Linked DNA regions of Danio rerio. The protein of the gene in region 2 purifies or fractionates together with the protein of the main gene of each other region. This does not show direct contact. Links are inferred from orthologs where the notes say so. Each region holds a gene or a part of one and is shown on either strand. Other genes may lie near its edges.

Evidence for each region.
Region 1: the proteins of eya4 (region 2) and dctpp1 purify together in Homo sapiens (affinity purification with mass spectrometry; 3 studies listed by BioGRID and IntAct, with this or other methods). This does not show direct contact. The link is inferred for Danio rerio from reciprocal best matches to the Homo sapiens genes EYA4 and DCTPP1.

Annotation. Positions count from the first base shown.
Region 1 is NC_133176.1:26,144,089-26,161,201, forward strand, and holds dctpp1 (glutamyl-tRNA(Gln) amidotransferase subunit B, mitochondrial), read left to right. Parts: upstream 1-8,513; 5' UTR 8,514-8,629; coding exon 8,630-9,121; 3' UTR 9,122-9,850; downstream 9,851-17,113. UniProt on the Homo sapiens protein: Hydrolyzes deoxynucleoside triphosphates (dNTPs) to the corresponding nucleoside monophosphates. Has a strong preference for dCTP and its analogs including 5-iodo-dCTP and 5-methyl-dCTP for which it may even have a higher efficiency.
Region 2 is NC_133198.1:34,406,422-34,423,765, forward strand, and holds part of eya4 (eyes absent homolog 4), read right to left. Parts: intron 13,941-17,344; coding exon 13,822-13,940; intron 10,327-13,821; coding exon 10,243-10,326; intron 10,031-10,242; coding exon 9,953-10,030; intron 7,534-9,952; coding exon 7,467-7,533; intron 7,306-7,466; coding exon 7,163-7,305; intron 6,542-7,162; coding exon of another isoform or gene 6,536-6,541; coding exon 6,392-6,535; intron 3,273-6,391; coding exon of another isoform or gene 3,270-3,272; coding exon 3,196-3,269; intron 1-3,195. UniProt on the Homo sapiens protein: Tyrosine phosphatase that specifically dephosphorylates 'Tyr-142' of histone H2AX (H2AXY142ph). 'Tyr-142' phosphorylation of histone H2AX plays a central role in DNA repair and acts as a mark that distinguishes between apoptotic and repair responses to genotoxic stress.

The DNA.
Region 1 (17,113 bases), on a different chromosome or scaffold from region 2:
ATGACAAAAAGTGAACTACTGAGCAAACTGATACCAGAGATAATGTCCATATAGAGAAAGGTGAGGCAAACATAATAGATTACAGATTATAAACACAAGTAGGGATGCAATGATTAACCAATTTCACTATTAATCGTGCTTTAATTCGTCATGGTTAATTAATTGTAAAGGCTTCTCAACACTGCATTTCTGCACGGAACAAAACTGCTGCAATTAAACAAAGTTATGCCAATTAGTTTAAAGTTCCGAGCTTGTACACTAAGGCTAATACACATGCAAACAGGATTAAAGGGTAATTTAAACTATGGCCGAGGCTATTAACTAAGGGCCTATCCCATCTTTCGTAAGCGCAAGTTTGTTAATTCCAAACAAGGAATGAGTACCATGATGCTCAAGTGTTATTCAGGTACACCTAGTTAAAAGAACGCAGTGAGCGCACCGTGAGTCCTATGACAAGAACTGACTTTAGCTTCACACTTTGTATGGAATACATACAGTATACACATTTCTACTCTAAAGAGAAAAAAAATACAAAAGAAAAATACCAAACATTTTTGTAATGTAGTTGTTATATCATAAGTGTCTTTCAGACAGAGGTTCAGCAGTATTTCACTATTTGTTCTCTTTAAAAGGGAAATATTTTGCTAATAGCTTAGATTTACATTAGACAATTACATTTTGTTTTTTATTCGTATTTTTTTATTAATTAATTAATGTAATTATTTATTCATTGTTCTGTCATTTATTTTCACTGTAAAAGTATTACTTATGTTGAAATGCCAAAAACTTTTCACTTATTTTTAAGTCAAAAAAGAGAAATTAACTATTTCTTTTTAAAATGTATTTATTGTTTTGTGCTGTATTAATTGGTTACTGAGCAGCAATAAATAACACTTTAAAATTTAAAGAGTTTTCACATGATTTTCTAAACTAGTAGTGTTTTAAAAATAAATGAATGCCTAATATTTATGATAACCGTGAAGCCATGATTATTTTTCAGACTTTAATCGTACAAACAAAATCTAAAATCAGTGCATCGATAGACAAAAGTTGTTTTGTGGTATTTATTTGGTGTTGTTTAAAGAACTGCATGAAAATAATCCTTTATTCATCAATAATATAAGCCTGTAAATATTATTAGTGTGAAAAGAAACAGAAGTTGTTGCCCTGTTGCGTTCATTTTACCTAGAAACTGCAGTTAAATGTATGTTAATATAAATAAGTTTTTTTTTGTTTAACAAAAATGTAGGCTGAAGCACAACCTTTTTTCAACACATTTCTAAACATATGAATTTTAATAGCTAATTTCTAATAACTGATCTCTTTTATATTTGCCATGATGACAGTACATAATATTTCACTAGATATTTTTCAGGACACGAGTATTCCACTTAAATTGCGATTTAAAGGCCTAACTAGGTTAATTAGTTTGATTAGTTAATCCAGGGTAATTAGGCAAGTCATTGTTTTTTTTCGGTAGACCAGTGGTTCCCAAGGGGGGTTTCACAGGACAATGAGGGAGGGTCGCTTGGCAATTTCCAAAAATCTAATTCCTTTTATTAAACTATTAGAATTAGCATATTTATCCATAACCTATTGAAGAACAAAATAGTAGTTAATAGTAACATTGTTAAAATGTTAATGATAACTATTAAAAAACAACATGCAAATAAAAAGCCATCAGCCTTTCTATCTTTTTTTTTGCAACCCATAGGGTGATTACGTTATATTAAAGACAATATATTAAATATATATATTAAAGCAATAGCGCCAGATGCAGCACATTCATTTTATAGCACCAGGTTAAACTTTCTGAGCACTCACATACATTAAAAATATAATCAGGCTACAAGTGGAAAAAACTGGGAAAAAGTTCTTGTCAAAAATAAAAATTAATTTTTTTTTCTGCATGAATACTATACAGATCGAGAAAACCAATACCAGAACTTGACTGTTTTAAGCTTTTAAGAACTGACTGTTCATTCATCTACATTAGTGGCAGCTATTCTGTTTCTTGCCTGTTCAGCATGGATTGCCATCACTTCTTTATTAAAGCTCGAAGAAAGAGAATGTGATGTACTGAATATACGCGCGTGTGTGTCTGTTTGACAAACGATGGATTAATAAAGCAGCTAATCAAAAATAACAACCACACAGACTGGGAAGTATAAGAAAGATGTTCTTGTCTATTGCATTTGTGTCATCAGCACTTCTATGCTTAGGAAAAGGAAGATAAAATGAAGAAGTGCTGACCAATTTATTAAACACCCACATGTGTGCAGTTAGGACAACTCACAGGCATGTCTGCATAGAAGTAATGCTTCCTATCGAACAGTGACTTCTTGTTTATGGTGCAGTTGAGAGCAAGGCCTGTTAATACAGCAGCCTCCACACATCTTCTGTTCAGCACCTTAGGAAATGTAGTGGTAAGACATAGAACAACCTCTATAAATGCAAAAATACATTATACAGTGCATTCGGAAATTATTGATAGCACTTCACTTTTCCCACATATTTCTATGTTACAGCCTTATTACAAAATTGATTCATTTAATTTATTTCCTTAAAATTCTACACACAATACCCCATAATGACAATGTGAAAAAAGTTTTTTTTTAAATTGTTGCAAATTTATTAAAAATAAAAACCTGAAAAATCTCAAGGATATAAGTATTCACAGCCTTTGTCGTAAAGCTTTAAATTGAGCTCAGGCACATTCTGTTTCCACTGATCATTAATTAATTAATTGGAGTTCACCTGTGGTAAATTCAGTTGATTGGACATGATTGGAAAAGGCATACACCTCTCTATATAAGGTCCCAGGGTTGACGGTGCATGTCAAAGCACAAACCAAGCATGAAGACAAAGGAATTGTCTGTAGACCTCCGAGACAAGATTGTCCCGAGGCACAAGGCTGTGGAAGGTTACAGAAAGTTTTTGCTGCTCTGAAAGTTCCAATAAGCACAGTGGTCTCTATCATCCGTAAGTGGAAGATGTTTGTAACCACAAGGACTCTTCCTAGAGCTGGCCAGCCATCTAAGCTGTGTGATCGGGGGAGAAGGTCCTTAAACAGAAAGGTGATCAATAACTCGATGGTCACTCTGTCTGAGCTCCAGCGCTCTTCTGTGAAGAGAGGAGAACCTTACAGTAGGACAACCATCTGTGCAGCAATCCACCAATCAGGTCTGTACGGTAGAGTGGCCAGATGGACACCACAGCCACCTGGAAGCCACCAAAAAATCTTTGGTCTGATGAAATTGACTAAAATTGAACTCTTTGGAGTGAATGCCAGGCGTTACGTTTGGAGAAAACCAAGCACCGCTCATCACCAGGCTAATACCATGCCTACTGTAAAGCATGGTGGTGGTGTTTTTCAGCAGCAGGAACTAGAAGACTAGTTAGGATAGAGGGCAAGAGGAATTCAGCAATGTAAAGACATCCTGAATGAAAACTTGCTTCAGAGTGCTCTTGACCTCAGACTGCGGCGATGGTTAATCTTCCAGCAGGACAATGACCCAAAGCATACCACCAAAATATCAATGGAGTGGCTTCACAACAACTTGGTGAATGTCCTTGAGTGGCCCAGCCAGAGCCCAGACCTAAATCCTATTGAACATCTGTGGAGAGATCTAAAAATGACTGTACACCTGTCACTGTTGTGGTTGGGAAAAAGGAGCGTGGACTCAATTGCAGAAAATGATATGGGTTTTATTAATGATAAAATACAAATAAAACAAAAAGGCTAAACAAACTACCCCGAGGGGGAAAACATTACTATAACACAAACAAACTTGGCTGGGCTGGCAAGACAAGACTGGAGCAGGAGCAGGAACACAGCGGGAGTATAGAAGACAAACTGGCACAGGACAGCAGACATGAGGAGAATATAAACAGAAGCAAATTAACACAAACAGATGAACATAATTAACTAATAATGGGTTAACAAGGAGGGTGGGATTAGACAATAGACGGGAGAGCACATGACACAGAGACAACACAAGCCATGTGCTCACATAAAACAGGACAAGAACAAACAGCCAATGAGAGAACTCATTAACCACGCGTTCACAATAACAGGACAAGACTGAAGCACGTGGTCACAATGTAAACACAGAGCCATGTGCTTAGACGCAAGACACGAGCACACGATAGATGAACACCTTACCGTGCGCTCACACATATGTCTCATCTCAGCGTCAACCAAAACCGAAACCAACTAGACAAAGATGCTGAGAATGAAACAGCACGATGCCGACAGAACAAAACACAAACACGAGTACAAGAGCGCGCGTCCGAGGCACGCAGAGCTTCGACACCTCCGACGGTGTGTACACACAGAGACACACGCACAACGACAGAAACAGGACAAGACAGAGCTAGTGTCCGGACTCTGCCACCAAAACAAGAATTTACAAGACCAGAGTGGCAGAACCCTGACAACACCGTCACTTCCCATCCAACCTGAAAGAGCTTGAGTGGTTCTGCAATGGGCAAAAATTCTCAAAGACAGGTGTGCCAAGCTTGTGGCATCAAATTCAAAAAAACTTGTGGCTGTAATTGCTGCTAAAGGTGCATTAACAAAGTATTAAGCAAAGGCTGTGAATACTTCTATACAGTACATGTAATTATTCAGTTTTTATTTTTAATAAAACTGCAACAATTAAAAAAAAATCACATTGTCATTATAGGGTATTGTGTGTAGAATGTTAAGAAAATAAATGAATTTAATCCATTTTAGTAGAAGGCTGTAACATTAAAAATGTGGAAAAAGTGAAGCGCTATGAACACTTTCCAGATGCACTGTATATACAAACAAATATGTTTATTTTATTGATTCACTTACTGGCAGTGTCCCTGGTAATGAAGCATCAAAATGAGAGACAAGTGAGTTTGGTGGATCAGAGAAACTAACATGAGATCCAGAAAAGAGCTTTGATTTGGAGTGAATCTGAGCATGGATTTCTAGACCCACAACACCGACCATCTGAGGAAGACTAGAAAACATAGAAAAATTAATGATGAGGAGGTCAAACCTGAAAGTTTCTTTCATAATTAAGGCATTTCGAGAATATTATAAAATGATTAAATAAATTATAAAGCTAAATGCTGGTTTCATAAGGATTTAATTTTGGTGAGACCAGGGGCAAGATTCACTAAAACCTTCAACAGAGGTACGTTAAGAAATATATTAAGGCAAGTAAGGCAAGGCAAGTTTATTTATATAGCACATTTCATACACAGTGGCAATTCAAAGTGCTTTACATAAACAGGAATAAAAAAGACAAGTTTATTAACATAAAATGCAGACAATAAAAATTATTAAAAACAGATAAAAACAAATTAAAATGAGTTAAAATAGGTTATAAAAGAATGAAAAAGAAAACGAAAAACATAATAGTGTGATCTGTCGGACGCAGCACAGTGCTCATTCAGTAAAAGCACAGCTAAACAGATGTGTTTTCAGTCTTGATTTGAATGTGCCTAATGTTGGAGCACATCTAATCATTTCTGGAAGCTGATTCCAGCAGTGAGGAACATAGTGACTGAAGGCAGATTCACCCTGCTTTGACTGAACTCTTGGAACTTCTAGTTTATATGATCCTAAAGATCTGAGTCATCTGTTAGGTTTGTATTCAGTGAGCATATCTGTAATGTATTGAGGTCCTTGGCCATTTAGTGATTTATAGACCAGTAATAATACTTTAAAATCTATTCTGAATGTAACTGGCAGCCAGTGTAGAGACCTGAGGACAGGTGTGATGTGCTCTGATTTCCTGCTTCTGGTCAGAATTCTGGCTGCAGCATTCTGGATGAGCTGCAAGTGTCTGACTGTCTTTTTGGGAAGGCCAGTGAGGAGTCCATTACAGTAATCCACCCTGCTACTGATAAAAGCATGAACAAGTTTCTCTAAGTCTTCACTAGAAACAAAGCATCTGATTCTTGCAATATTTTTCAGATGATAGTATGCTGATTTACTGACTGCTTTGACATGACTGTTGAAACTCAGATCTGACTCCAGAGTCACACCAAGATTCTTGACCTTATTTTTTGTCGTTTGACCTTTAGAGCCAAGGCACGCATTCACCTTGAGAACCTCATCTCTGTTCCCAAACGCAATGACTTCAGTTTTCTCTTTGTTTAACTGAAGAAAATTTTGGCACATCCAATTTTTAATTTCACGTATTAAGATAAACTCTGAGGAGTTCTTAAGAATTTTCTTAAGCATAACTCTTGTAAAAAAAAAAAAAAAAAAAAACTCAAGTGGAAAAGTGGATTTCTTTCACATATGAATAACTTTAAAGTATAGTCTACAACAAATCATTATAGCTTATGTCTTAGCATCAAAATTAGCATCAACATCACAGTCAGGTTTTTGACATTAGCCATCAAAAGACAATTTATACACAGAAAAAAATGTAAACTACTCATCAAATTAGACATGTACGACAAGAAGAGAAGCAAATTGCATTGATGTTGTTGTTGTTGTCTCTTTTGGTCAGATGGCCTCTCAATTTAATGTCCCTAAAGCTAATTTTTTCAGATATTTACAAATTCAAGATTCTGTGCGCAAAAAATAATTGCTTCAGATCTGGACACCATACTGGGCATAGATCCCTGTGCTAAATGTTCAATTTCTAAATTATTTAATATAATTGTTAATCTGCAATTTTCTTCTGATAACTACTGGTCCATCTGGTCTCGAGACATTGGAGTTGACATTAACGAGCGACAAGGAAAGCGGTCTCGAACAGGGTTAATTCTTCCTCTGTGCACGGCACATGTCCATACAATACATGGTAGTGCATATAGCTCATTGGTCCAAGAGCAGGCTAGCTTGCATCAACCTGTCTATTGACCCTGAGTGCGACAGGTGTCATACTGGTTCAGCTACTCTTATCCATATGTTTTGGTCCTGTCCTTTACTCTTGTTGTCTGCTATTACCACTGTTCAAATTCCACCTTGTCCAATTATTGGTTTATTTCGGGTTATCCTACCCGGGCACACTTTACCCTCTCATTTGCTAGAGTTTGTAGCCTTCTTAACCCTTCTGGCTAGGCAATTATTCATCTAAACTATTTTCATTAAACTGTGAGAACCCCTTCGCAAAAAATGGCCAAACTCTTCAGCTTAACCCCTTTCTTTCTGATTGAGTCCACACCCCCTACTCCCATATATACATGTATATAAAATAAATTACTGGACTGCACGTGTGTTATCAGACTGTGTGTACAGTACATCCACACTTGATTACTGACCTTGACTTTTTGTGTGCCTTGTTAATGTACATTATACTGTGTCATTAATACCACAATTGCTGGCTAATAATGTGCTTGTTGAAAAAAATATTTAAAGCTTTATCTGCCTTAAAACAAAATATATGATTATATTCCTTTAAATGAAATTTATCACAGTTCGTTAATAAAAGTACATTCAAATATATTTAAAGGGCAGAATGGCAATGTTAGTTTGCAGTCTTTTATTCTTTATATATATATATATATATATATATATATATATATATATATATATATATATATATATATATATATATATACATATAAAGAATAAAAGCTGGCTGGGTAAATGCTTGCTGTGTACTTATATATAAGTACCCAGCTAGCAAAGTTCACAGTTCACGGAATATACTTTATTCTTTATATATATATATATATATATATATATATATATATATATATATATATATATATATATATATATATATATATATATATATATATATATTATAAAAGACGGCAAACTAACAATGACATTCTTCCCTTTAAATATTAGAATGTACTTTTATCAACGAACTGTGATAAATTTATTTAATCATTTAAATTCATCCATCATTTAAATTCATCCATCATTTAAATTCATTCATCATTTATTTAATAATTTAAAGGAATATAATCATATATTTTGTTTTAAGGCACATAAAGCTTTACATATTTTTTCAACAAGCACATTAGCCAGCAATTGTGGCATTAATGACACAGTAACATGTACATTAACAGGGCACACAAAAAGTCAAGGTCAGTATTAAAGTGTGGATGTACTGTACACACAGTCTGATAACACACGTGCAGTCCAGTGATTTATTTTATCAGAGCCGAGAAAGACTGCTTACATACGGGTCACATTGGAGTGATTGTCCTACCTACAGAGCACTTTGCAGGACACTTGATGCCTACCTTTCAGTCTGTGTATTTAGCTGATGTTGATGTTTGCATCCGGTTGTCCATGTTGTCCTTATTATGAAGTTAGAATTACCAATATGGCATAAACTTTGTGATTTATTAGCATATTTCCTCAGCCTGAAGAGTACACCGCTGTATCCTGAAGTGGAGGCTGCCATGCTTGTGTTTATGTGAGGGCAGCTGGGACATGTAGTTTTACGGAGCATTCAGAAACTCGCAACTCTGCTGCTGAATGATAAGGAAAAAACTCAACTCCCACAATGCCACAAGCGCAACGGCGGAGTTTCCGGCGGTTACTTATGACGGCATTCACGATCCGCGAATACATAACTGAGGGGCAGCTGGTGGCGGGAGATTCACGCACGGTACTGCACGTGAACGATCAGTTTTTGGCACTTCTATATCGTCAGAACTTTTTATTTCAATAACAATGGCACTGCAGCACAACGGCACCGCTTCCAAACTGGCCAAACACAACGGCGAAACTAGCGATCATCACCCCTCTACAAACGGAAAGGAAGAAGCCGAGCACGAACACGCTGATCGGTTCACTTTCACCTCCGAACCAACACTTGAAGACATCCGCCGCATGCAGGCTGAGTTCACGGACGAGAGGAACTGGAACCAGTTTCACCAGCCGCGGAACCTGCTTCTGGCTCTGGTAGGAGAGGTCGGCGAGGTGTCGGAGCTATTCCAGTGGCGTGGGGAGGTGGCGGAGGGTCTACCTGACTGGACCGAACCGGAGCGGGAGCATCTGGCCCAGGAACTCAGCGACGTTTTGATCTATCTGGTTGAACTGGCCGAGAAATGCCACGTTGATTTACCTCGAGCTGTCCTGCGCAAAATGGCATTAAACCGACTCAAGTACCCAGCTAGCAAAGTTCACGGATCAGCTAAGAAATACACTGAATACAAGGACTGATGTGGATGATGTATTTTAGACAAAGACGATCGTTACTGAATAGTTTATAACAGATGGAGCTGATACCGAGTTCCTTAAAACCCCCCTAAAATCACCGTGCTCCTAAAGGTCCTAGTTTTCTTCGTTTAATCTACAGGTGGACACTCTACTCTGTTTTAGGTTGATCTTTTAAAAATCTGAATGCAAGAAACTTGTTTGCACATTTTCCTACTGTAAGCAGCTAAAGTTTTATAGTTGTTTTCTTTTATTTTCCAAATTATTTTACCAAAGCTGTTCTGGACAACGTTACTTTGTACTGTGTAGTGTTTTTGCATGACAGTAAAGTGTTTTGCAACACACATGGTCTGTTTGCAGATATTTACTCTGGAAACTGGAATGTTTTTGTTATAACAGCTAGATACGTTGGCTCTCTAAGTGTTCAGTGTTTTGGATGTGCATGAACCCTTAACAGTATAGCATCTTAATATATGGTCCCTCAAGATGCTTCCTATTCTGGCAGAAGATTTGAACCTGCACTCAAGTCTATATATATATATATATATATATATATATATATATATATATATATATATATATATATATATATATATATATAAACTGCATGTGCGATTATGATCAGGATTGCAGTTAAACTTTATTCTAACAATCTGTCTTTATTGATTAAACTGTTTCCGCAAAGACATGTCATCGGTTATGTGGTTGGTAATAAAAAAAAAAAAACACTTTAAAGGAGGAAATCTCTGTACCAGTAGTGCATTTGTATGCAATTTAATTTGGCCTCAGCATTAAAGTTAGGCAGAGCTCCCAAAGTACTGCTAGAACAGCTTTTTTTTTAATTAAAAAAAAATATATATATATATATTTTTTTTTTTTTGAAAGTTAGTAATATTTTCATTCCTTTTCTTTTCTGGGGTTTTTACAGTGGAATGAACACCAACCTTATCCAGCGTATGTTTTACACAGCAGATGCCCTTCCAGCTGTAACCCATCACTGGACAACAAAAACATCCATACACACACACACACACACTGCTAACAATTTAGCTTACCAAATTCACCTATAGCGCATGTCTTTGGACTTTGGGGGGAAATGGAGCACCAGGTGGAAACCCACACCAACACAGGGAGAACAAGCAAACTTCATACAGAAACACCAACTGACCCAGCCAAGACTCGAACCAGCAGCCTTTTTGCTGTGAGGCGAACGTGCTACCCACTGTGCCACCGTGCAGCCTAGTAATATATTTTAACTTGGGTAAATGTTTTTTAAAAGATCCAATTTCCTGTCAAAAAAGTTTGTATAGTAATTTTTATTTTTTATGTCTTTTATAGTTAAAACCAAATAAGCCAACACAATTTTGTGTAAGAACAAATATTTTGTGAAAGTACACATTTAAGAGATATTCAGAAATGCATTTCTTAATACTGAATATATTAGTTCATAATGACTGTTACCTTGTTGTCCACTTGCATACTTCACTTACACAATCACAACTAATGCAGTACTGTGCTTATTATGTAACCTGAAAGTTAGCATGACTTGTTGCCTCAACAAAAGCTGAATAGGACTTTGCCTTTTGTGTTATGGCAGAATGACTAAACCTTTTGTTCAATATGATAATCTGCACTGCTTTTAGTAACTGTAAACCAGGGGTGTCCAAACTGAGTCCTGGAGGGCTGGTGACCTGCTGAGTTTAGCTCAAACTTGCTTCAACACACCTGCCTGGAAGAATAGTATATCTAGTAAGAGCTTGATTAGCTGCTTCAGATGTGTTCGATTGGGGTTTGAGCTAAACTCTCCAGGACACTGGCCCTCCAGGACCGAGATTGAACACCCCCTGGACTAAATAATGTGGAGTAAAAAGCTAAAATTAGGCTACACAATGTAATGTTTCACAATAAATATCTGTTTTCTGTACAATAATTTGTACAATAAACAAACAAAAAAAAATCTTCATAAAACTGCGGGGATCAGGGACCTGTAAAGCAAGAGTTGTATTTTAAATTAGCATATAGGAGATAATGCAACATCAACCTGTAAAAATAGTTTACCAAACAGCACATGGCTCCATATTTCATCACAGTGTTGCATTGACCCTTTTTATTCAGTGTTTCACATGTGAAAGGTTAACAAGTGCTGATTACATGAAGCAGCCTGAAGTTGGTATATCGGTTATCAGCTAATTATCGACTAGCTAATCTGTTTTCGCTAGTGAACTCCTGATTGAAATAATTTGAAAGTTGACAATTTACTCGCCCTTAATTGGTTCCAAACGTTTGAGTTTTTTTTTTTTAATTTCTGTTGAACGCTAGCAAAGATATTTTGAAGAAAGTTAGAAACCTGTAAACATTGACTTTTTTTAAGCAGGAAAAGCATATACTATGAAAGCCAATGGTTATTGTCGATTTAAAACATTTTCCTGTTTTTAAAAAATAAATAATAAAGTAAATAATGCCAGAATTCTCTATTTTAGATGAACTACTACTTTAACCCTACACTTCTTTCATATTTTAGTATTTTGGTTCAAATTGGGTCACTCTTAACCTGTTGTTGAGAACAAAACATGTCAACATTCATATGGAAGCTAAAATCCATCATGACAGCTCTCACTGGTTACTTTGGGAAAAGATGGATATGGAACTCTAACTAGCAAAGTTAAGTTCTGGACACATAATTAAAACGGCTCAATAGTAGATGTTTGGTCTCCTGAGCTGAGTGTCACATTATTAAGATGCTCATGCACTCAGGAGCAACATTAAGATTGAAGACTGTTAGATGAACCATTTGACAAAGGCAAAGCTGGCCATTGTGGCACAGATGATTTCGGTGCATGTATAGCATATTCAAGTTCATCATTAGATTATTTAAATGTTCATTTTCATAATTAATTTTTTTTCCCAGAGCCTTTTCTTTACAGAACTGCATTTTCTCACTGCCCTGTTACTGATCACACATCAGAGCAGGGTGTGATCAATAGATTTGATCTTCTTCCAGCTCTCTGCTGCCGGTCGAAGAGGGCAATCATCAGCATTCCATTCTGACTGGATTTAAAAGATTCATCTGTTTTATCAGATGAGCAGACTGTTAGATAAGCCCTCAGCAAATGAAGCTGTTTTTATTGCAGTTTCAAAGCAACAACAGCATAATCCAAATGATGCTAAGAACTTGCATCTCCCAGACACCGTTGATCTATTGTGTGTATCTCTCTCTCTATGGGTCCACCATGGTGGGGGGCAGAGTGAGCTGTCAGCATCTTGCACCATAGGGGACGCAGTACTGCTGCTTTCTCCCTCGCTCTGTGATTTTTCATGCCACTCAGACTTTAGTAGCCAGACAGTGATTTTCCCAGCATCTGTTTTTCATTTGATGTCATTCAGAGCTGACTATGGAAGGCCTGCCACAGTCTTTGTCACTCTTTCAGTTCTGTACACAAATGTCAAAATCCAACATGCTCTTTCTTCTCTCTTGACAGCTGAAAGCATTCTCAGAATTAAAAATCTTGAAATAGTGCTTTTAAAAAGCTTATTTTGGCCTATTCTTAAGAGTTGATAGGCGTTTTTCCAAATCCACAATAACCGGTTTCTTTGAATGGGGCTATTTTCTTTTGAGTCGTATCATCAAGTCTTATTTATTCCCTGAAAGAGAAGTCCACAGGGAATGAAAACACCAACTTCTCTTGCCCTTTTCACAGGCTTCTCATTTCATCCCATTTCTCCTAATTTCCCCTAATTACACTCATTCTAACGGAGATACCACAAAACAGACTGATTTTTGATAAGATTTGTATTTGTTATTTGTATTCAGTTCACCACAAGACATATAAACATGGAATTCCTCTGAAATTTGACTGAAATGTCAAGATTACAATAGTGCTATTCAGAATTGCATATAAAAAAGAGGTCAAATTTAGAGGGCCACAGCAGCAGAATATAATATACTGTAAGACAGAAACAATTGTCTGGTTTTGAATCCATTTATTCTTTTTTTTTCATGGATACAACAACCTTACTCTATTTCACTAGTAAGGAACCAACAAACTGTGCCAGAGGACTAAACTCCCATAAAGAGACAATCTATCAATATGTACACTCATCGGCCACTTTATTAGGTACTCCTTACTAGTACCAGGTTGACCCCCTTTTGCCTTCAGAACTGCCTTAATCCTTTGTGACATAGATTTAAAAAGGTACTGGAAATAATCCTCTGAGAATTTGGTTCATATTGACATGATAGCATCACACAGTTGCTGCAAATTTGTTCGACTGCACATCCAAGATGTGAATCTCTCGATTCCATTCCACCACATCCCAAAGATGCTCTATTGGATTGAGATCTGTTGAATGTGGAAGCCATTTGAGGACAATGATGATGGGTACACTGTGGTCATAAATGGATGGACATGGTCAGCAATAATACTCGGGTAGGCTGTGGTGTTGACGCAATGCTCAATTGGTACCAATGGGCCCAAAGTGTGCCAAGAAAATATCCCGCACACGATTACACCACCACCACAAGCCTGAACTGTTGATACAAGGCAAGATGGATCCATGCTGTCATGTTGTTGACACCAAATTCTGGCCCTACCATCTAAATGTTGCAGCAGAAATCGAGAGTCATCAGACCAGGCAACGTTTTTCCAATCTTCTATTGTCCAATTTTGGTGAGCCCGTGCGAATTATAGCCTCAGTTTTCTGTTCTTAGCTGACAGGAGTGTGGTCTTCTGCTGCTGTAGCCCTCAAGGATGGACGTGTTGTGCATTCAGAAATGCTCTTCTGCATACCTCGGTTGTAACGAGTATTTGAGTTACTGTTGCCTTTCTGTCAGCTCAAACCAGTCTAGCCTTTCTCTTTCCTCTGGGATCAACAGGCATTTGCGTCCACAGAACTGCCGCTCAGTGGATATTTTCTCTTTTTCGGACCATTCTCTGCAAACCCTAGAGATGGTTGTATGTGAAAATCCCAGTATATCAGCAGTTTCTGAAATACATCTGTCACCAATAAACATGCCACATTCAAAGTCACCTAAATACCCTTTCTTCCCCATTCTGATGCTTGGTTTGAACTGTAGCAGATCATCTTGACCATGTCTACATGCCTAAATGCATTGACTTGCTGCCATGTGATTGGCTGATTAGAAATTTGCATTAACCAGCAGTTGGAAAGGTGTTTCTAGTCAAGCCCTGTACAGTTTTAAAGAACCCTTTTTTATTAGTAAGTTCATTCACTTCGCTATATATATATATATAAAAAAAACATACTTAAACAGCACTTTGTGTAAACAATTTTTTTTTTTTTTCTATCCGCTTGTTAAGTGTGATGTCCCGCAAAGCGGCTTCTGGGTCTAAGCGCTCTATCAAACTGTATGGGGAGACTCAACAAATGTTAATAATAAACTTTTACAAAGCGAAAAAAAAAAAAAAATAAAAAAATAATATATATATATATATATATATATATATATATATATATATATATATATATATATATATATATATATATATATCCCTAATATCCGATGGCCTGCAAGTGATACATTTTTTATAAATTGTTAAAATATTTGTTTTTGTGATGCAGCAAGCCCGGAGATTGATGTGTACACTATGCTGTTATATAAAATTCACTTTAATGTGTAGTAGGAATAAAAATTGGAAATAAACGAATATTTTCTTAATCACGATTTTCATCAATTCAAATGAGTAGCGGCTTGGACCCAGAAACAGTATTCCATACATCACGACTTAACAAACGGATTGTATTAAAAATTTTTGTTTTGCACCAATAAACAGGTTGTAATTTCAAGAAAGCCACAATATTGTAAAATCTAACAGAAAAACTTGACTCTAGATTGAACTTCAAACTTTAATTGTCTTTAATATATATATATATATATATATATATATATATATATATATATATATATATATATATATATATATATATATATATTTTTTTTTTTATTTTTATTTTTTTTTGTCAGCTAACTGCTTATTATATTCAGCTCCATGCCTCCTTTCGGATCCAAACTAATCCCCCTGCAGCTCTGAATCTGTTGTTCTGAGGTGTCGTCCGTATAGATCCAACAGAACAACCTTTTCCCACAGGATGAAAATGAAAGGCAAGAGTGCACTTTGTAACATCCAGTCAGTCAAATCAAAGCGTTGTACTGTGGAGATGGAACAGCCCTGTATGGGGAAAGAGCAGTTAGTGAATTTCTCACAATGACACTAAAGTGGCACACGTTCCCAGAGCAATAACATCAGCACATTTTCAGTAATGGCTCTGATGACTTCAGTCTCAATATAAGTGGACCAAAGCATGGGGCAAACGCAACTCAGATTCCATCACTTATTTCTCACAAATCCATCAAAGGTGTGTAAGAACAGGATCAAAGATGAAGTAAAAGTGTACTACACAGCAACAATTTAATTAGAGATTATAGTAATATTTACAGAGTCCCTGTTTCAAAATATCTATCTATCTATCTATCTATCTATCTATCTATCTATCTATCTATCTATCTATCTATCTATCTATCTATCTATCTATCTATCTATCTATCTATCTATCTATCTATCTATCTATCTATCTATCTATCTATCTATCTATCTATCTATCTATCTATCTATCTCAATTCATTTTGAGCAAGAGACTGGCTTTTGCAGGTTCTCCATGGTGTTTTGCTATTTTTATGTGTTGTTTTGCAAAATTTCAATTCTGATCTGAGAATTGTATACCAAAGCGATTGAGAAAAACTCTAATTTAAGATATTTCACTCTGGAAATAGTTTTATGGTTAAAACTAATAAATAAATAAATAAATAAATAAATAAATAAATAAATAAATAAATAAATAAATAAATAAATAAATAAATAAATAAATAAATAAATAAATAAATAAATAAATAAAATAAAATAAATGATAATAAAACATTTATAAAATTGAGGAAAAAACCTTGTCAAAGTTCTTAATAAAATAATTTTAACAATATCAACAAAACCTTTCATTCAAAACCATTTTAAAGACAATTTCAAGTTTTTTAAAAAGAAAAAACTGTCATGTTTTTAGTATTAATTTTACAATTTAATTGTAAAGCACTTTATGCATTTTCTTGGGAGGTGCTCTAGAAACAAACATTACTTGTGCGTTTTAGTTTCCTTCTAAAACAAAATTATGTTACTCAATCATTTGCTGTTTATTTATTATTTTCTACTCATTTACTTTGACTTAATTACCAACCAAATCTGCTTTTTTCTTATTTTCTCATGTTTCCATCTATCTATATACTATAAGTTTAAATTAGAATTTAATAACAGATTCTAATTATTCATACTTTTGAGTGATGCACACAGAGAGTGTCTTTTTATCTAGCTGTTGCTGCTGTAGCTCTGTAGTTTCCCTCTCAGGATGAAAGACTCCAACTGACGTCTCTCTTGAGAGGGCGGCAGACCATAATGGCAATCTTGTATTCAAGATAGTTGTTGCCATGTAGGATTGTTGCTATGGAAGAGATTCCAATTGACTTGCTGTACTAGCAATCAGAACGGACCACCGGTTGCCTGAAAGTTGCCACTAGAGGGCATTTTTCACATGCGGTGCATTGCTTGGAATATATGACTGAAATGAATCAAGTTTGAGTTTGTGATACATGTAGATTCATGTAAACGCAATTAGTTTGGAGATATTTTCTTGGCTTGTGTGATTATTACATTTATACATTAAGAGACTTATTTGAATACACAAACAGAGTCATTTACATTGCATTTACATTAAATTTATGCATTTAAAAGATGCTTTTATTCAAAGTGACTTTCAAGTGAGGGATACAACAAGCGATTTGCCATAAAGAGGTAAAATGAAATACAAAGTTTCAACGATTTTTAGATAATAAAAGCCAGAATAGGGAGTTTTTTTATTTTCAAATGATTCTATAATGTTCATGTTCCCGACTACTAGCAGTTCAAACTTGTCCTCTCTAGAGGGCATATGCAAACT
Region 2 (17,344 bases):
GCTATTCATACAAAACTGATACCATGAATGCATTTTGTTAATTATCACTTAACTTAATAATGTAGGGACATTTTGTCTTGAAAATAACAACTTAAAAAGACTTGTACTTTACCTACAGTGCATCCTGAGAGTATTCATAGGGCTTCACTTATTCCACATATTTTTAATGTTAAAGCCTTTTCCAAAATGGATTTAATTAATTGATTTCCTCAAATTCTACACACAATACCCCATAATGAAATTTTTTTGAATGTTTTTAGATGAAAAATAACATGTACATAAGTATTCACTGCCTTTGCCGTGAAGCTGGGGAAGGTTACAGAAACATTGCTGCTCTGAAAGTTCCAATGAGCACAGTGGCCTCCATCATTCGTAAGTGGAAAATGTTTGGAACCACCAAGATTCTTCCCAGAGCTGGCCGGACATCTAAGCTAAGTGATCGGGGGAGAAGGGCCTTAGTCAGTGAGGTGAGGAATAACCCGATGATCACTCCGACAGAGCTCCAGCGTTCTTCTGTCTTCTGTGGAGAGTGGAGAGAGGAGAACCTTACAGAAGCACAACCATCTGTGCAGGTATCCACCAATCAGGCCAGTATGGTAGATATGGTAGTATGGTAGAGAAGAAAGCCACTCCCTGCCTGGAATTTGCCAAAAGGCATCAGAAGGACTCTCAGACCATAAGAAACAAAATTCTCTGGTCTGATGAGACTAAAATTGAACTCTTTGGAGTGAATGCCAAGCATTACATTTGGAAAAAACCAAGCAGCGCTCATCACCAGGCTAATGCTATCCCTACAGTGAAGCATGGTGGTGTCAGCATCATGCTGTGGGGATGTTTTTCAGCAGCAGGAACTGGAAGACTAGTTAGGATAGAGGGAAAGATGAATGCAGCAATTTACAGAGACATCCTCAATGAAAACCTGCTTCAGACTGCTCTTGACTTCAGACTGGGGCGACGGTTCATCTTTCTGCAGAACAATGACCCAAAGCACACCACCAAAATATCAATGGAGTGGCTTCACAACAACTCGATGAATGTCCTTGTGTGGCCCAGCCAGAGCCCAGACCTAAATCCTATTGAATAGCTCTGAAGAGATCTGTAAATGGCTGTACACCGTCCTTGTCCATTCAACCTAATAGAGCTTGAGTAGTGCTGCAAAGAGGAATGGACAAAAGTTCTCGAAGACAGGTGTGCCAAGCTTGTAGCATCATATTCAAAAAGACTTGTGGCCACAATTGCTGCCAAAGGTGGGTCAACAAAGTATTTAGCAAAGGCTGTGATAACTTATGTGATTACCTACATTAAATGTAATGTAATGTGATTTTTCAGGTTTTTCATTTTTAATAAATTTGCAACGATTAAAAAAAATCTTTATTCACATTGTCATTGTGGGGTGTTGTGTGTAGAATTTTGAGGAAATAAATTAATTTAGTTCATTTTGGAATAAGGCTGTAACATAAAACAATGTGGAAAATGTAAAGCGCTATGAATACTTTCAGGATGCACTGTATATATTTTAGGGTTTCAATTATCATCAAATAATTCAACAATAAGTCAAATTTTCACCTTATTCTTGTGTTTATCTACTAAGTTAGCATATAAAAAAAGTTAAGCTGAACGCATAAAGCACGGATTGAAAAACTCTGGAAAGAAGGCATTGAAGGATGTTATTTATTATTCTCTCATTAATTTGTACAAAACGTTTCAGTTACACAGAGAGTAGATCAATTATTTGTCAACGCTGTCGCTGTGATATTTTAGTGAATTTCATTAACAAGCATAAAATTCTGTTTTAGATATGTGGTATCTGGTTTGAGGTTAGGATCTTGAGTTAAAGCACAAAATGTTGGAAAATCTCAACACGCCTACTGTCAACTCACTTGGTGGTTTAAACAATTTTACAGTAAATTAAAGAACAACTATTGACAGAATCAAATCAGAATCAAAACGTTTAAGCATTTTGCCATTTTGCATAAAATATTCAGTTTAGTATACATTTCACATTTGTTGTATTGTCATTTCAGTTTAGGAAAAATGAATGAAAAATGCTTAAAATGTATATTTATTATACATAAACTGATTCGTTGCAACCTTTTACATATTTGGATGTTCATAAGTTGCTCATAATTATTTAATTGTTTAAATGATACTCAAAGGCCTTCAATAGGCTTTTAATGTCAAATTAGTGATATAGCATGATAGGAACATTGCCATAAGTGAAGTTTGATATACTAATTTCGAGAGGAGAATGTGATATGATTGATCACGGCTGGTCTCTCATCTGCAATCATTAATAAACAAACAGATTAATCCAAACCTACAATAAATAACCCATTTCACGTCACTTCCTTTATCATCCACCCCATTTCCCCCTTTCCTCCTTTCTCAGGGGGAGCTCTCGAGAACTACCGAGCTCAGGGTTCTCTCCTGGGACAGCATGCTATACCTGCTATTAGTATCAAGCAATATCTAAGTGTAAACTCTTGAAAAGGTCAATGTGCGCTCAGTGGACTAAAGCAATCATTCATAAGTTTTTGTAGCCAATTTACTGTGAATGAAATAAACACCACAGTTTGACATCTAGCTTTATAATTTAGCATAACGCGAAATGTATATAGGTTTTCTCTTTATCTTGAATAAAAAAGAAAGAGAGGGAGTTGATAATCGGGGGAACGATAAAGGGAGAGGAGACAAGGCAACAGGACTGGAACATACAGATTTCTGGCTCCTCCACACAGAGCTTTTTATCACTCCCTGACTCCTCTTGTATCTTTGAGCGAGAGAGTTTTACATGTGGATCTCTTACGGGAGGCAACTCTAAAGCTGTCACTGACTCACTCGCTCAAGAACACGAACGGCGCAGTAAAACGCTCTCCGAGAAACTCCACTACTGCGTTCACTCTCATTTCATCCTAATTCCGCTTACTCCTTCATTTCAACCATCGCCAGAGCCTTGCTTTGTTTACACAGCTAAATTCATCAGTGGGAGTCAGAGTGTAGCTGGGTCCTTTTCTTTGGCAGCACTTTTAATCATAAAAGTTTAGGGAAACATTAAGTCCTAAAAGCATCAATTCTCTTGCATGAAGGATGGTGACCTGTTCTCTGAGGCCTAGGTTGTTTTGTAAGGCTGGTCCGGTGCTGAACTCTGACGTTATTGGTGTTTGTGTGCGTTCATCTGTGCATGTGCAGTTGTACCTGTTGTGTGGTGAAATTTCCTGGGTTGGAGTTGTTGGAAGTGTAGAGACCAGGAGAGGTTGTAAAACCTGAACCTGCTGAGAGAAAGATAGAAAATACAAATGACAGCATTTAAATGAATGCAAGTTGTGAAAGAGACTTGCAGCAGGCATCACCAAAAGCAAAACATCAAAATAGATAAATTATAGATCTTTTATTACAACTTACAAGTTTCTTTGTACAGCGATTTTTAACAATAACTGTAGTTTCAAAGCAGCTTTACAAAAGGTGCAAAATACTTACAATCAAATTAAGTTAAAGATACAAACAAAAATAAGTTATTATATACAGGCAAAGTTAACCTGTAATTTTGTAGCATACACAGTTGAAGTCAGAATTATTAGCCCTCCTTTAAATTTTTTTTGTTTGTTTTTAAATGTTTCCCAAATGCAAGAGCAGAAAAACAGAGCAAGGAAACTTTCACAGTATGTCTGAAAATATTTTTTCTTCTGGAGAAAGTTTTATTTGATTTATTTTGGCTGGAATAAAAGCAGTTTTTAATTTTTTAAAACATTTTAAGGTCTACAATATATGCCCCTTTAAGCTATATATTTTTTGATAGTCTACAGAACATTCATTCATTCATTTTCTTTTCGGCTTAGTCCCTTTCTTCATCCGGGGTCGCCACAGCGGAATAAACCACCAACTTATCCAGCTTGTTTTTACGCAGCGGATACCCTTTTAGCTGCAACCCATCCCTGGGAAACATTCACACACACTCACACTCATACACTATGGACAATTTAGCCTACCCAATTCACCTGTACCGCATGTCTTTGGACTGTGCATAGGGGAAACAGGAGCACCCGGAGGAAACCCACACAAACGCAGGGAGAACATGCAAACTCCACACAGAAACGGCAACTGACCCAGCCAAGGCTCGAACCAGCGACCTTCTTGCTGTGAGAGACAGCACTACCTACTGCGCCACTGCGTCGCCCAGTCTACAGAACGAACCATCGTTATACAATAACATGCCTAATTAAGCTATTATGTCATTTTAAGCTGTATAGAAGTGTCTTGAAAAATATCTAGTCAAATATTATTTACTGTCATCATGGCAAAGATAAAATAAATCAGTTATTAGAAACGAGTTAATAAAACTATTATGTTTGGAAATGTGTTGAGAAAATCTTCTCTCGGTTAAACAGAAATTAGAGAAAAAAATCAACAGGGGGGCTAATAATTCTGACTTCAACTGTACACTCACCGACCACTTTATTACGTACACCTGTCCAACTGCATTAACGCAAATTTCTAATAAGCCAATCACATGGCAGCAACTCAATGCATTTAGCCATGTAGACATGGTCAAGATGATCTGCTGCAGTTCAAACCGACCATCTGAATGAGGAAGAAAAGTGATTTAAGTGGCCTTGAACATGACATGGTTGTTGGTGCCAGACAGGCTGGTTTAAGTATTTCAGAAACTGCTGATCTACTGGAATTTTTACGCACAACCATCTCCAATGTTTACAGAGAATGGAACAAAAAAGAGAAAACATCCAGTGAGCAGCAATTTTGTGGGGGCAAACGCCTTGTTGATGCAAGAGGTCATAAGAGAATGGCCAGACTGATTCGAGCTGATAGAAAGGCAACACTAAATCAAATAGCTACTCGTTACAACCGAAGTATGCAGAAAAGCATCTCTGAATGCACAACAGGCCCAACCTTGAGGCAGATGGGCTACAGCAGCAGAAGACAACACCATGTGGCACTCTTGTCAGTTAAGAACAAGAAACTGAGGCTACAATTCAAATAGGCTGTGTGACCATGTCCATCCTTTTATGACCACCGTGTGCCCATCTTCTGAAGGTAACTTCCAGCAGGATAACGCACAATGTTATAAAGCGTGAATCATCTCAGTCTGATTTCTTGAACATGACAATGAGTTCACCGTACTCAAATGGCCTCCATAGTAACAGAGTTTAATTCAATAGAGCACCTTAGGGATGTGATAGAACGGTAGAATCACATCATGGATGTGCAGCCAACAAATCTGCAGCAACTGCATGATGCTATCATGTCAATATGGACCAAAATCTCAGAGGAATATTTCCAGTACCTTGTTGAATCTATGCCATGAAGGATTAAGGCAGTTCTGAAGGCAAAAGGGGGTCCAACTCGGTATTAGTAAGGTTAACTTAATAAAGTGACTGCCTGGTTATTTTAGGTGATGTCTATGAGTACATGTTTAATAAAGTGCATTTGTGTATTAAGTGTTTGTCTTGTCCTCGAAGTCCCCAATTTGTTTCTTCAATGCAAAATTTGTTGGTTGGTTTCTTGATTAATTGACCCACAGCCAAGTCTCAAAACATTCAAGCATCAAAGAGCATCAAATAATGCAACTTAATACCATAATAGTTGCTTATAATGCATGGTTATTATGTTGTTCTGAAGATGTAATGGTTTGTGAAAAACAGATTTTTCATTGATAATTACCAGTTTTGTTTTAATTCTTTTAATATACTTTTAGTTTCTATTAGCATTTTTTATGTTCAGTTTTCATTCCAGTTTTTCTCTTTAGCAGTTTTAGTTATGTGCTTTTGTCATTTATTATTAGCTTTCTTTCAAATAATTACATTGATTTATGCTATCATTTTTTGCTTCATTTTTTCCAAGGCAACATTTCTATTTTCTTTTTTACAATATCCAACTAATATATTTATTTTACATTCATTATAATTAACAAATTTTTATTAGTTTAGTTTATGATAATATCCCAGATAAGCACAACCAGAAAAAATAGAGCAAATGGCATAAAATCTTAATTAGATCAAATGGTTTAAAATGGTTTAAAATTAACTTTAGCATTGTACATAACCCAATCTGATGTTTTATTTATTACTCAGATTTTACAAAAAATAGTTCCTTTTATTGTATAATGCATAATGATTGTTTAGCAATGTCTACTATAATGTGCCTGACAAAATATTACATGTATAAATGCAAATAATGATAACAATGGCCTTTTTTAGGTGAGCTGCACCATTAAAAACATCAAATTCATGTAAAAAATGCACAACACACATTTTTGATTATTATTGTCTTCTTATTAGCACAAGGAGTAGGCTTATTTTGACAATAATTTTCCTTAAAAAAGGAATATTGTGTTCTTAATGGTCATTTTTGTAGCATAGCCATATAATATGTATACCTGGCATCTGATAGGGGGAGTAGGCTGTCTGTCCGGGCTGAGGGGTGGTAAATCCAGGACTGTAGCTGAGCCCTGACTGCAGGGTTGATTGGGTCTGTGTAAGCCCTCCTTCTGTCTTTATCCCTGGCAACATCACCCCCAAATCTGTAGCTCAAGATCAAGAGAGTGGACCTGTCAATCAAACTGCACACTAAAAGTCCTTTTGCATGATTCTACATCAACATTTACATGAAGTACAATAAATTCTAAGCCTTATTATCGCAATTGCAGAGTCATAAATATGTACAAAAAAATGCATGTACAAACATGAACAATTTAAAAATATATCTCTTAAAATTGATTTGATTGGTTTATTGAAGTAAAAAATAAAAATAAAAAATCGGCACACTGCCACTTCAGCTCTCAAAAGAGAATTTTAATATTAAAATGAAATATTATTATTGGTTTATTCAGAGTTTCTCTAGAGATGTATAAATAGATAAGCCTTTGAGCAATATATATATATATATATATTTTTGGTCATTCTGTAAACTTCTGATGACATTTCTTCCAAATGTAAAATAGAAATGTAACTTTTTACATAAAAAGATCAATCGTATAACTAAATAAATAAAGAAAATTATAAAAAATTAATCACACCTTTTTTTAAAGATTAAACAAATATTAACATTTTACTCAAACTCATCAGTATCTACTGTAGTGAATCCGGATAAACAGTGAAGTGGTCTCTAAATTTTTTTATACAGTATAAAAACAATGGTAAAAACCTACCATAGGTGGAGAGGCCGTAGGGTGGAGTCGTTTGCGAATAGGGCGTGTAAACTGTTGACTGCTGCATGCTGCTGAACTGTGATTGGCCTGTGTAGGCTGACATGGGCGGAGCCACAGGGGTAGTGAGGATGTGAGGGTAAGGCCTGCCAATCAAACACAATCATAACATTTATTTCATTAGATCAAGGATTGCAACCATGTTGACAAAGTGCCATTATTAATTTGGCTGGTTCATAACTCTGATGAGCCATAGAGAAAATGGTTTTAGTGTTATCAATCTAAATTATTCATAAACATGTCTCACTTTGAAGGGTAGAGAGGAGGTGAATACTGGTGTGCCGGCCGGGGACTGAATCCACTGCTGCTTATGACTATACAAACGTAAAGAAAATTTTAAAAAAATTAGCTGGAGAGACTAAATCATTTTTACATGCACAATGGCAAACACACACCTAAACAATGGGATGTATCCGCAGTCAGGACTGTACGTCAGTTGTCGTTGAACTGAATGTGTAATTTATTGCACATCACAACCATAAAATAAAATGTGTGCTGGACTTCTTCCAATTGAAGGGAATTTGCCAAGAGTCTTCAGTTCAAATTCAAACACACACACATACACACTGTTTTGATTGACAGTTCACAGCCTTTTTCAGCAGCTGGATTTAATTTAACAAACAGCAGAAAAAAATAACAGGAACTATTCTCTCGAAAACCTTCTACTACATCAAAGAGTATCCTGGTTCCTCTTGCTACCTTCTTTTTCTCTTCTCTCTCCTTGAGCCCTTCCTTCGATAAAACGTTCCCCAATTCCACTATTCCATCTATTTTAATCAATGCTGCTTCTTATTTTTCAATAAAATGTCTGAATGGTATTTTTCTAAATTAAAAAATATGACTTTTTATGACTATGACTTTATTAATTGTTTATCTTTGGCTTCAATTTATCAACTTATCTTTGGCTTCACCACATAATTACATCAACATTCACATCACATATCACCAGTTCTGGGAAAGTTACAGTACTTGAAAAATGTAGTGAGCTGAGCTATTAGCTAGTCTACTTAAAATGTAGCTTAACTACACTAAGCTACCCTCTAGGAAATGTAGCAAGCTAAGCAAAAAGTTACTTGGCAAAAGTAACTTAGCTACATCTATGCTTTTTTTTCCATAAGTGATCAATAAAACTGTTAATGAAACATATGAGGCAGAATTATTTAGTTCAATTACCTATGGCAAATAATATGCTGTACTAAATAGAAACAAATCATAGTATATAACAGCAAAAAAATAAAAAATAAAAAACAAATCCAACAAAACCAGGTGTTACACATTTAAAACACTATAGTAATTTGTAGTAAAGGGAAATATTTAGGAACAAGCACTATATTGTATATATATTTACAACTCTTCATTAATGAATAACACTAACGTTACATAATATACTGTCATTAGTAACTATCATGAACTAATAGTAATTACCATAGAATACTTTAGCCTTTACAACTTATTGTACTTCACTATTGTCTAGTTCAAAAACATTATAGTACTTACTATAAATTACTAAAGTATTTTTTGAGCACAGCATCTGAATTAACATTGCTGCATCTTAACATTTACTGCTTGAGGCATGGTCACGAGGAATCCTGCTTCAGAAATAACTGTTCTCATGATTTTTATATATATATTTTTTTACTAAATTAACACACTAATTTTGGTTCGTGCAACACATTTCAGTAAAACATTTACCACTTTGTAATGTTCCCATTCCTCTTCACAACACTTAAAAGACATTTAGAGACTGAAGACACCAAGTGATGAAGTGTTTCAGGTGTAATATTGTTCCATTCTTCCTGCAAACAAGCCTTAAGGTGGGAAACAGTACAGGATCTTTGTTTTCGCATTTTGCAGTTTAAAAGGTGCCACACATTCTCTATTGGAAACAAGTCGGGACTGCAGGCAGGTCAGTCAAGTACTTGCTTCCTCTTCCTCTGCAGCCAGGAGTTTTAATGTGTGCAGAATGTGTATTTGCATTGTCTTGCAAATAACCGATATATTAGCTGATAAATATAAATATTTCAAAATGTTTGTACAGTGAACAATTGATTTTATTTAAAAAACTTCATAAAAGTTTGAACAGATCTTGAAAAAAGCATATTCAAAGCAAAAAAAAGCAATAATTTCAAAATTGCAAGGTGATTGACTGTTGCATAAAAATAATAGGTTAAAAAACAAAACGTGAGGCAGGCAATTCTGTACAATGACATCATTTATTGTGCTTAAAAATATCAGCGTAGTTTTGACATCGGACCGACAATGATAACATTAAAAATAGCATTTACCGGCCGATAACCATATAGCCACCGATTTATCGTGCATCTCTAAAAAATAGATATATTCATTATATTCTCAGAGTACCTATCTTATAAAGTTGATGTTTTCTTAAGATAAGATATTTTTACTGAAAATAAGACAAACACACACATTTTCCACACTGCATATAACCGAATATCGTCTTCTCTATAGAGACATCAAAATCCCCTGTCAGCCTCAGCCTTCTCTGCAGGGGTGCGCATGTACAGAGGCTTTCTCAGTCTTTGAGTGTGTGTGCGTGTGTATGTGTGAGTGTGTGAGCACATTGATCTAAATAAAGAGTTTGTGGCTCTGATGACGTTAGCTCAAGGGCAGTACAAAGATTGAGGGCTCAGAGCTTTCACCAAGTTCCCAAGCGGGATTATAGGAGGCATTCTGAATTCAGCATGCGTGTGTGTGTGTGTTTGTGTGTCTTACCTGACCCAGTGTAAGTGTCCAGCCCAGAGTCTCCTGCTGAACTCACGGCTTCACTGCTGTTCAGAGGCTCAGACTTAACTTTAAAAAGAGAGACCAAAAAAACATATAAGGCATCCTGTCAGCTGCTCTCAAACCTCTCTAAACTGAATAAAAACTAAAAACTAAAAAAAAAAAAAATAATAAAAACTTTGAAAGTAGTGTGAAAAAATGAAAGAAGAATAAAAGCACTGCACCCAAACTCTCACACACGTGCTGTCATATAAGACACTCCACAAACACATGCAGTATACCATCATTCTTCATACTTGGGGCAGTGGGCGGGGAACTGCAGCCCAGCAGCCAATCAGCCGTGTTTAGAATTGTCATGTTCTCTCCTGGGGGGCGGAGTCAAATGTATAGTGGACTGTATTATCCAGTTAGTTGTAAATATTAGGAATTTAGCACTTACAGTTACCTTTAAACTATTTAGACATGTAATTAGATTGCAATTATCTGAAATATTAAACAGAAAAAATATATACAACACAATACACAAAATATGTTGCAATAAGTTAGCATTAATCTTAATAAATTATTCATTCATTCATTCATTCATCCATTCATTCATTTTCTTTAAGTTTATTCCCTTTGTTCATCAGCGGTCGCCACAGTGGAATGAACAGACAACTCATCCAGCATATGTTTTACATAGCGGATGCCTTTCCAGCTACAATTCAGTACTGAGAAACACCCATACACACATTCACACGCACATATACATTACAGCAAATTTAGTTTATTTAATTCACCTATCCTGCATGTCTTTGGACTGTGGGGGAAACCAGAGCATCCTGAGGAAACCAATGCAAACATGAGGAGGACATGCAAACTCCGCACAGAAATGCCAACTGACCCAATCAGTGACCTTCTTGCTGTGAGGCTGACCACTGAGCCACCGTGTCGCCCATTATTAAATCACATTAATGAAATTTATAAATCATTAATATAAATAATACAGTCCTTTATTTTTATATCTATAACTGGTAACAATTTAGTTTAGGTCCCAATTCATGCTATTAACTTCTGGTTTATTATCTGCCTAGATAGCTAAAAAAGCTAGTAGCATTTGGTTAATGATTTGTTGATACCGTGAATTGTGACCCGAACTAAAGTGTTACCCTATTGGTTTATTTTAATATAGTAATTTTAATTTAAAACACACTTTTCAAGCATAGCCATAAAACATTTCTGTATTTCAAATGATAAAGAAATAGTGTCAAAAATAAAGACAAACAGTTTGTATTTTTGGTTGTCATGTATTAGTGCATAAATATTATCAATAGTTAATCGATATTTACTGTGATGAAACCACACCTGCTTAATCCTTTCTTAACTTCCATAGGAACTGAATTCTGAAAAAAAAAATTACTGGCTAATTTGTTTAAGAATAATTTTCAGAAAGTTATAGTTTTTTTTATGAAGAGTCGAAACATTTTAATAATAAGTATGATTAATATTTATTACAAAGAGATTATAATCATTATTTAAGAGTGAAAGGTTGAATCTGAACCATTGAACAATCAAAACACAGAATTCCTTCATTACACTACCTGACAAAATTCTTGCTGTCGATCTCAGTTGTAAGAGCAACAAATAATAACTTGACTTCAAGTTGATCATTTGGAAAAGTTGAAGGTCGATTTTTCTGATGAAATATCTATTGAACTGCGTCCCAATCACCACAAATACAGCAGAAGACCTATTGTATCCCGCATGGACCCAAGATTCTCACAGAAATCAGTCAAGCTTGGTGAAGGAAAAATCATGGTTCGGGGTTACATTCAGTATGGGGGCGTGCAAGAGATCTGCAGAGAGGATGACAACATCAACAGCCTGAGGTGCCATTACATTACAATCCACAGGAGAGGGCAAATTCTTTAGCAGGATAGCGCCCCTTCTCATAGTTCAGCCTCCACATCAAAGTTCCTGAAAGCAAAGAAGGTCAAGGTGCTCCAGAATTGGCCAGCCCAGTCTCCAGACAAAAACATTGTTGAGCATGTCTGGGGTAAGATGAAGGAGGAGGCCTTGAAGATGAATCCAAAGAATTTTGATGAACTCTGGGAGTCCTTACACTTTCTTTGCCATTCCAGATGACTTTATTAATGAGTTATTTGAGTCATTGCAGAGATGCACTGATGGAGTCGTCCAAGCTTGGGAGTCATACACAATGTTAACTCTTTTTCCACTGCACCATGACTTTATATTCTACACTGTACATTATTTCAGTTAAGTGACAAGACTTTTGTCTAAGCAAAGTCAGACCTTACTGTCCTAATTAAATAATCAAAAAATCAAGGCATGATCATATTGTATTTTGGTAAAATAAGCGTAATCTAGAGGCCTTTGCTTTTCATATAAGCCACTTCTGATACCAAATGATCAACTAGAAGTCAAGTTATTATTTGTTGTTCCTAGAATAGGTGACAAGGTAGTGTATAGTCTCAAAACCATTTGCCAACAGATCTATACCTCCTGGTGCCCTTAAAATAAGAAATATGTTCATACAAATAATAGAAGTTTTCCAAAACCATGTTTTAACATGCTGAGTTTATGACAGTTCTGTCAAAGGCACATTTGCAAAAAAAAACAAAAAAAACATCTCAATTCCAAAAAATGGAATTAACGTGTGTTTGTGCGGGAGAGAGCGAAAGTCCTCTAAAGTAAGATGAATGAGGCTTCACTGGCAGTGGGATTCATGTCAGGATGTGTGTGTGTGTGTGTGTGTGTCGTGGTGTGTCTGTGTGTGTGGGTGGTTGTGTGGGCGGTTTGCATGTTTGTGTGTGTGTGTGTGGAGGGATTCAGTCTAGGCTGTGAGCTGATGAGGTAGACAGAGGAGAATGTTGAATATGTCGTTGTTTTGGCAGAAGCACAATCCCTGTGCGTGTGTGTGTGTGTATAAATGTGTGTATGTATGTGTGTGTGTCAAGCTGTTAAAATCATTAGCTGAGCTCTAATCTAAATGATTTACTGAGTTCTGCTCTTTTTAGTCTCTCGCTCTTATGCTATTGTTTTATTCCGGCTACATGTCAAAAACAGATGAGCTCACACACACACACACACACACACACACACACACACACACACACACACACACACACACACACACACACACACACACACACACACACACTCTCGTTCTCTCTCTCCAGGGTCTCCAAACTTTACTACCTCTCTTGTGCGTCTCTTAGTCATAGCCATACATCAAACACTCGCTTGCCAGGGTGTTGAGAGTCTATTTAGCCTTGTGTATGTTTGCCTAACGTTCTCTCTTAAAACGTTTGTTCAGCGTTTTCCTCAAGGAGAGAAAAGCGAGCGAGCGTGTGTTGACATCAGAGAGAAAATGAGAGTTTAAACGCAGGAAATAGTTTTCTGTGCACCAGGCTCTTGCTGAAACACGCTGGGAAACCTTTCAGCACAAATGAACTTTTTTACATGCAGGCACTTTTCAGGCCTGTCCGCAGCGATTGACCATTTGAGCCCAGATCATCTTGACCCTAATCCACCAAACCGGCTCTGAACAGCACCAAAACCACAATGAACATGAAACACTTTTGTTCTTGCAGTCCAGGCATCACACACCAGGACTGACCCCTGCTTTCAATTATTGTAAAAACTGCAATATAATGAAAACAGAGTGAATGGAAACACAGCTGATTTCCTGAAAGAGCCTGTTTATCAGCTAATATTTCACTCACTCACTCATGTCTTACTCATGTCTGACTCATTTCTTTCTTTCTTTCTTTCTTTCTTTCTTTCTTTCTTTCTTTCTTTCTTTCTTTCTTTCTTTCTTTCTTTCTTTCTTTCTTTCTTTCTTTCGTTATTTGTCTTACCTCCGGTTCCATTGGTCGTGATGTTGTTGCTGAGGATGTTTTTGTCCAGTTTGGAAGTGCCGTCACTGCCACTGTTAACAGAGTGCTGGACATCTGTAAGTTCCTGCATCTCCAAAGCCCTGCAACATAAAAAGTAGGCACAGTTAAAGTCAGAATTATTAGTCCCGCTGTTTATTTTTTTCCTCAATTTCTGTTTAACGGAGACAAGATTTTCTCAACACATTTCTAAACATAATAGTTTTAATAACTCATTTCTCATAACTGATTTATTTTATCTTTGCCATGATGACAGTAAATAATATTTGACTAGAGGTTTTTTAAGACACTTCTATACAGCTTAAAGTGACATTTAAAGGCTTAACTAGGTTAATTAGGTTAACTAGGCAGGATGATAGGATAATTAGACAAGTAGTTGTATAACGAAGGTTTGTTCTGTAGACTAACAAAAAAAAAAAATAGCTTAAAGAGGCTAATAATGTTGACCTTAAAATGTTTCTAAAACAATTAAAAACTGCTTTTTTTCTAGCCGAAATGAAACAAATAGGACTTTCTAAAGAAAAAAAATATTATTGGACATACTGTGAAATTTTCCTTAATCTGTTAAACATCATTTGGGAATTATTTAAAAAAAGAAAAAAATTCAAATGGGGCGAATAATTCTGATTTCAACTGTCAATTGGAAGTACATATTTTTCGAAAGAAACAGTAAGACTGTCACTATAGACCAAAATACAGTAAAACTATAATGCTGTGAAATGTAAAATTATGGTTTAAAACTAGTGTTTTATGATTTAACATGTTTTAAAATTAGTGCTGTCAAATTATTACATTTTTTATTTAATTAATCACATGATGATAATCACATATCAAACCACACAAAATTACAAATGAACCAAAACCACCATTTTGATTACTTTGTTTACAACAAAAATTAACAATTAATTAATTTACTTATTCATTAATTCTAGTAAATGCTATTTTTCTAAAGGTGTGTGTTGCATTGCAAATATTTAGTGTGTTGAAAATACGTCATTCCGTGAACAAAAAAAGGCAATGCAAACCTTTAAAAATCTGTTGTCTGCTGAAATAAATGAAAGCGTTCAAGACTGCAGATATGCCTATTTGGTCAGGCTTACATTTGTTACTGAATGAATCAACCACTCCTTACACTCAAATTAGTGTCAGCTAAAGCGGTTTACAGGAAGACTTTTTTTTTTTTGCCTGATTCAATCCAATTACTAATAAGTTATTTTATTGTGTGTAAACATTAAGTTATTCGTCAAATAGATTTGTTCAAATAACAAACTAATTTAGTAACAAATGTAAGACTGTCCACATATTCACATCTGCAGGCTTGGCCACTTCAGAGTGTGTGAACAACAGGAAGTGCCCGAATCTGTCCCAGGTCTTATAAAGTGCAGTGTCCTTAATATACATTAAATCCACACTAAGTTAAACATATACCATTATTAATCATGTTCAGGAACTCGTGACAGTGGAAACATTCCACTGTAAATTAAATTAAATGGACATTACACATAATGAGGTAGTAAAATAAAGTGCTGTACATTTTATTTACAGTTATGTGGAGGTGTTATTGCTATTATTGGCATTGGGAAAACTGAATAAAACTGGCAAAACTGTGATTAATATACAACACAATACTGCGGTGTTTTATATACACACTCAGAAATAAAGGTACAAAATCTGTCACCTTTTCAAAAGGGTACACTTTTGTACCGTACAGATGAAAATAAGTACTTTTAAGGGAAAATTATTGTACCTTTAAGGTTTACTTTTGTACCTTTAAGAACCTGTTAGGAACAAAAATATACATTTTGAAGAGGTACCGCCCCAGTTACAGATTTTGTCCTTTTACTTCTGAAAGTGTATTAAACTTTTGTAAATAGTAACTTTCACATTTGCACCTGGGGTAATTGCTCTCTGCTTATATGATAGAGCTCATTTCAATATAGTAATATGAAAAAACAACTCATCCAGTTAATTATTCTACAATATCTATATAATTTTAAGGGCATTAAACTTAATTCCTTCAGTCTACAGTATTAAATGTCATTCAGAAGTCAGTCTAATCTGCTGATGTCTTTACTGTCACTTTTGATTAATTTAATTTCGCTTGGCTAAATTTAAAAATATCTTAGTGACCCTAAAATGACCGCAACACACACCAAGCAGAAAATGTGAGCAAAAACTTGCTTAGGCATTATAAGAATGATAATATGACCCTCGCTCAAATGTCAAACCATCTGCCAAAGAAACCATCTGTCCTGACTTGTGCATCTTCTAAAAGGATTTACCTCTGAAAACTGGAAAGCAATTTATCTAGGTCATGTTTATCGGCAATCTAACTTTTTTTCTTTCAGAAATCCATGTAGCGACACATATATTGATTACTTTTTTTAACATTAAGCCACCCGCATGAAAATTAATAGGTTATTACATGTGCAGCGTAACTACCTGCATTCTTTAATAATGGTATGAATTAAAAAATAAACATTTTTGGCATTTCGTGTATAATGTTTATATGGTATAATGTTATAGTAAGAAATTAATATACAACGCTCAGCATAAATGAGTACACCTTCTTTTGAACATGTATATTATTATTTTATTATTATATATTTCTCAGAAAATATACCAATATAATTTTGGCGCACTTAAACAAAACAGTTTTATTAAACAGTTTTCAACATTAAAATAAGATTTTGGTCACCTAACATCTTTCGGTATAGAAAGAAAATACATTTAAATTTGAGTTATTGCAAAAACAAATTACAAAATTTCAACTAAATTTGATATTTTCTGTTTCTTGTGGTTTTTGTATTTTGATTAATATTTTACTATAACATATTAATTGGATATACTAATTTTTGCATTTGTTTTCCAATACTGGGTTGCAGCTGGACATCTTTTGCGGTTTGCGGTTCATTCTGCTGTGGCAAACTCTGAAATAGAGACTAAGCCTAAGGAAAATGAATCAATGAACGAACTTTTGGACTGTGATCTTAAGTCTTTTTGTGTTAGATTGGATCTAGTTTTGGTTTCAGTACTGACTAATCTAACGTATATACACAAATATATTGTAAATCATAAAGAAAATATGAATAAAAAAAGATGTGAGGGGTGTACTTATTTATGCTGAGCACTCTATGTTCTTTCAGTGCAATGTACAATAAAGAAAAATAGTTTTTTTTTCCCCCAACATGACTTTAGGTTGTATCCGCTTGTTAAGTTGTGACGTAAGAAATAGTGTTTCCAGGTACACGCCACTACTCATTTGAATTGAGAGAAAATATTTGTTTATGACCATTCTTATTTTAGTCCAATCACACATTAACTATGTGAATTTTATATGAAATCATGGTGTACACAACAGTCTCTGGACTTTCTGCATCACAGTCAACAATATAGAACAATTTATAAAAAAATGAATCATTTTCTGGTCATCGGATATTATGAATGGCGATATATATTGCGATCGGGATTTTCAAAAGCATTACAG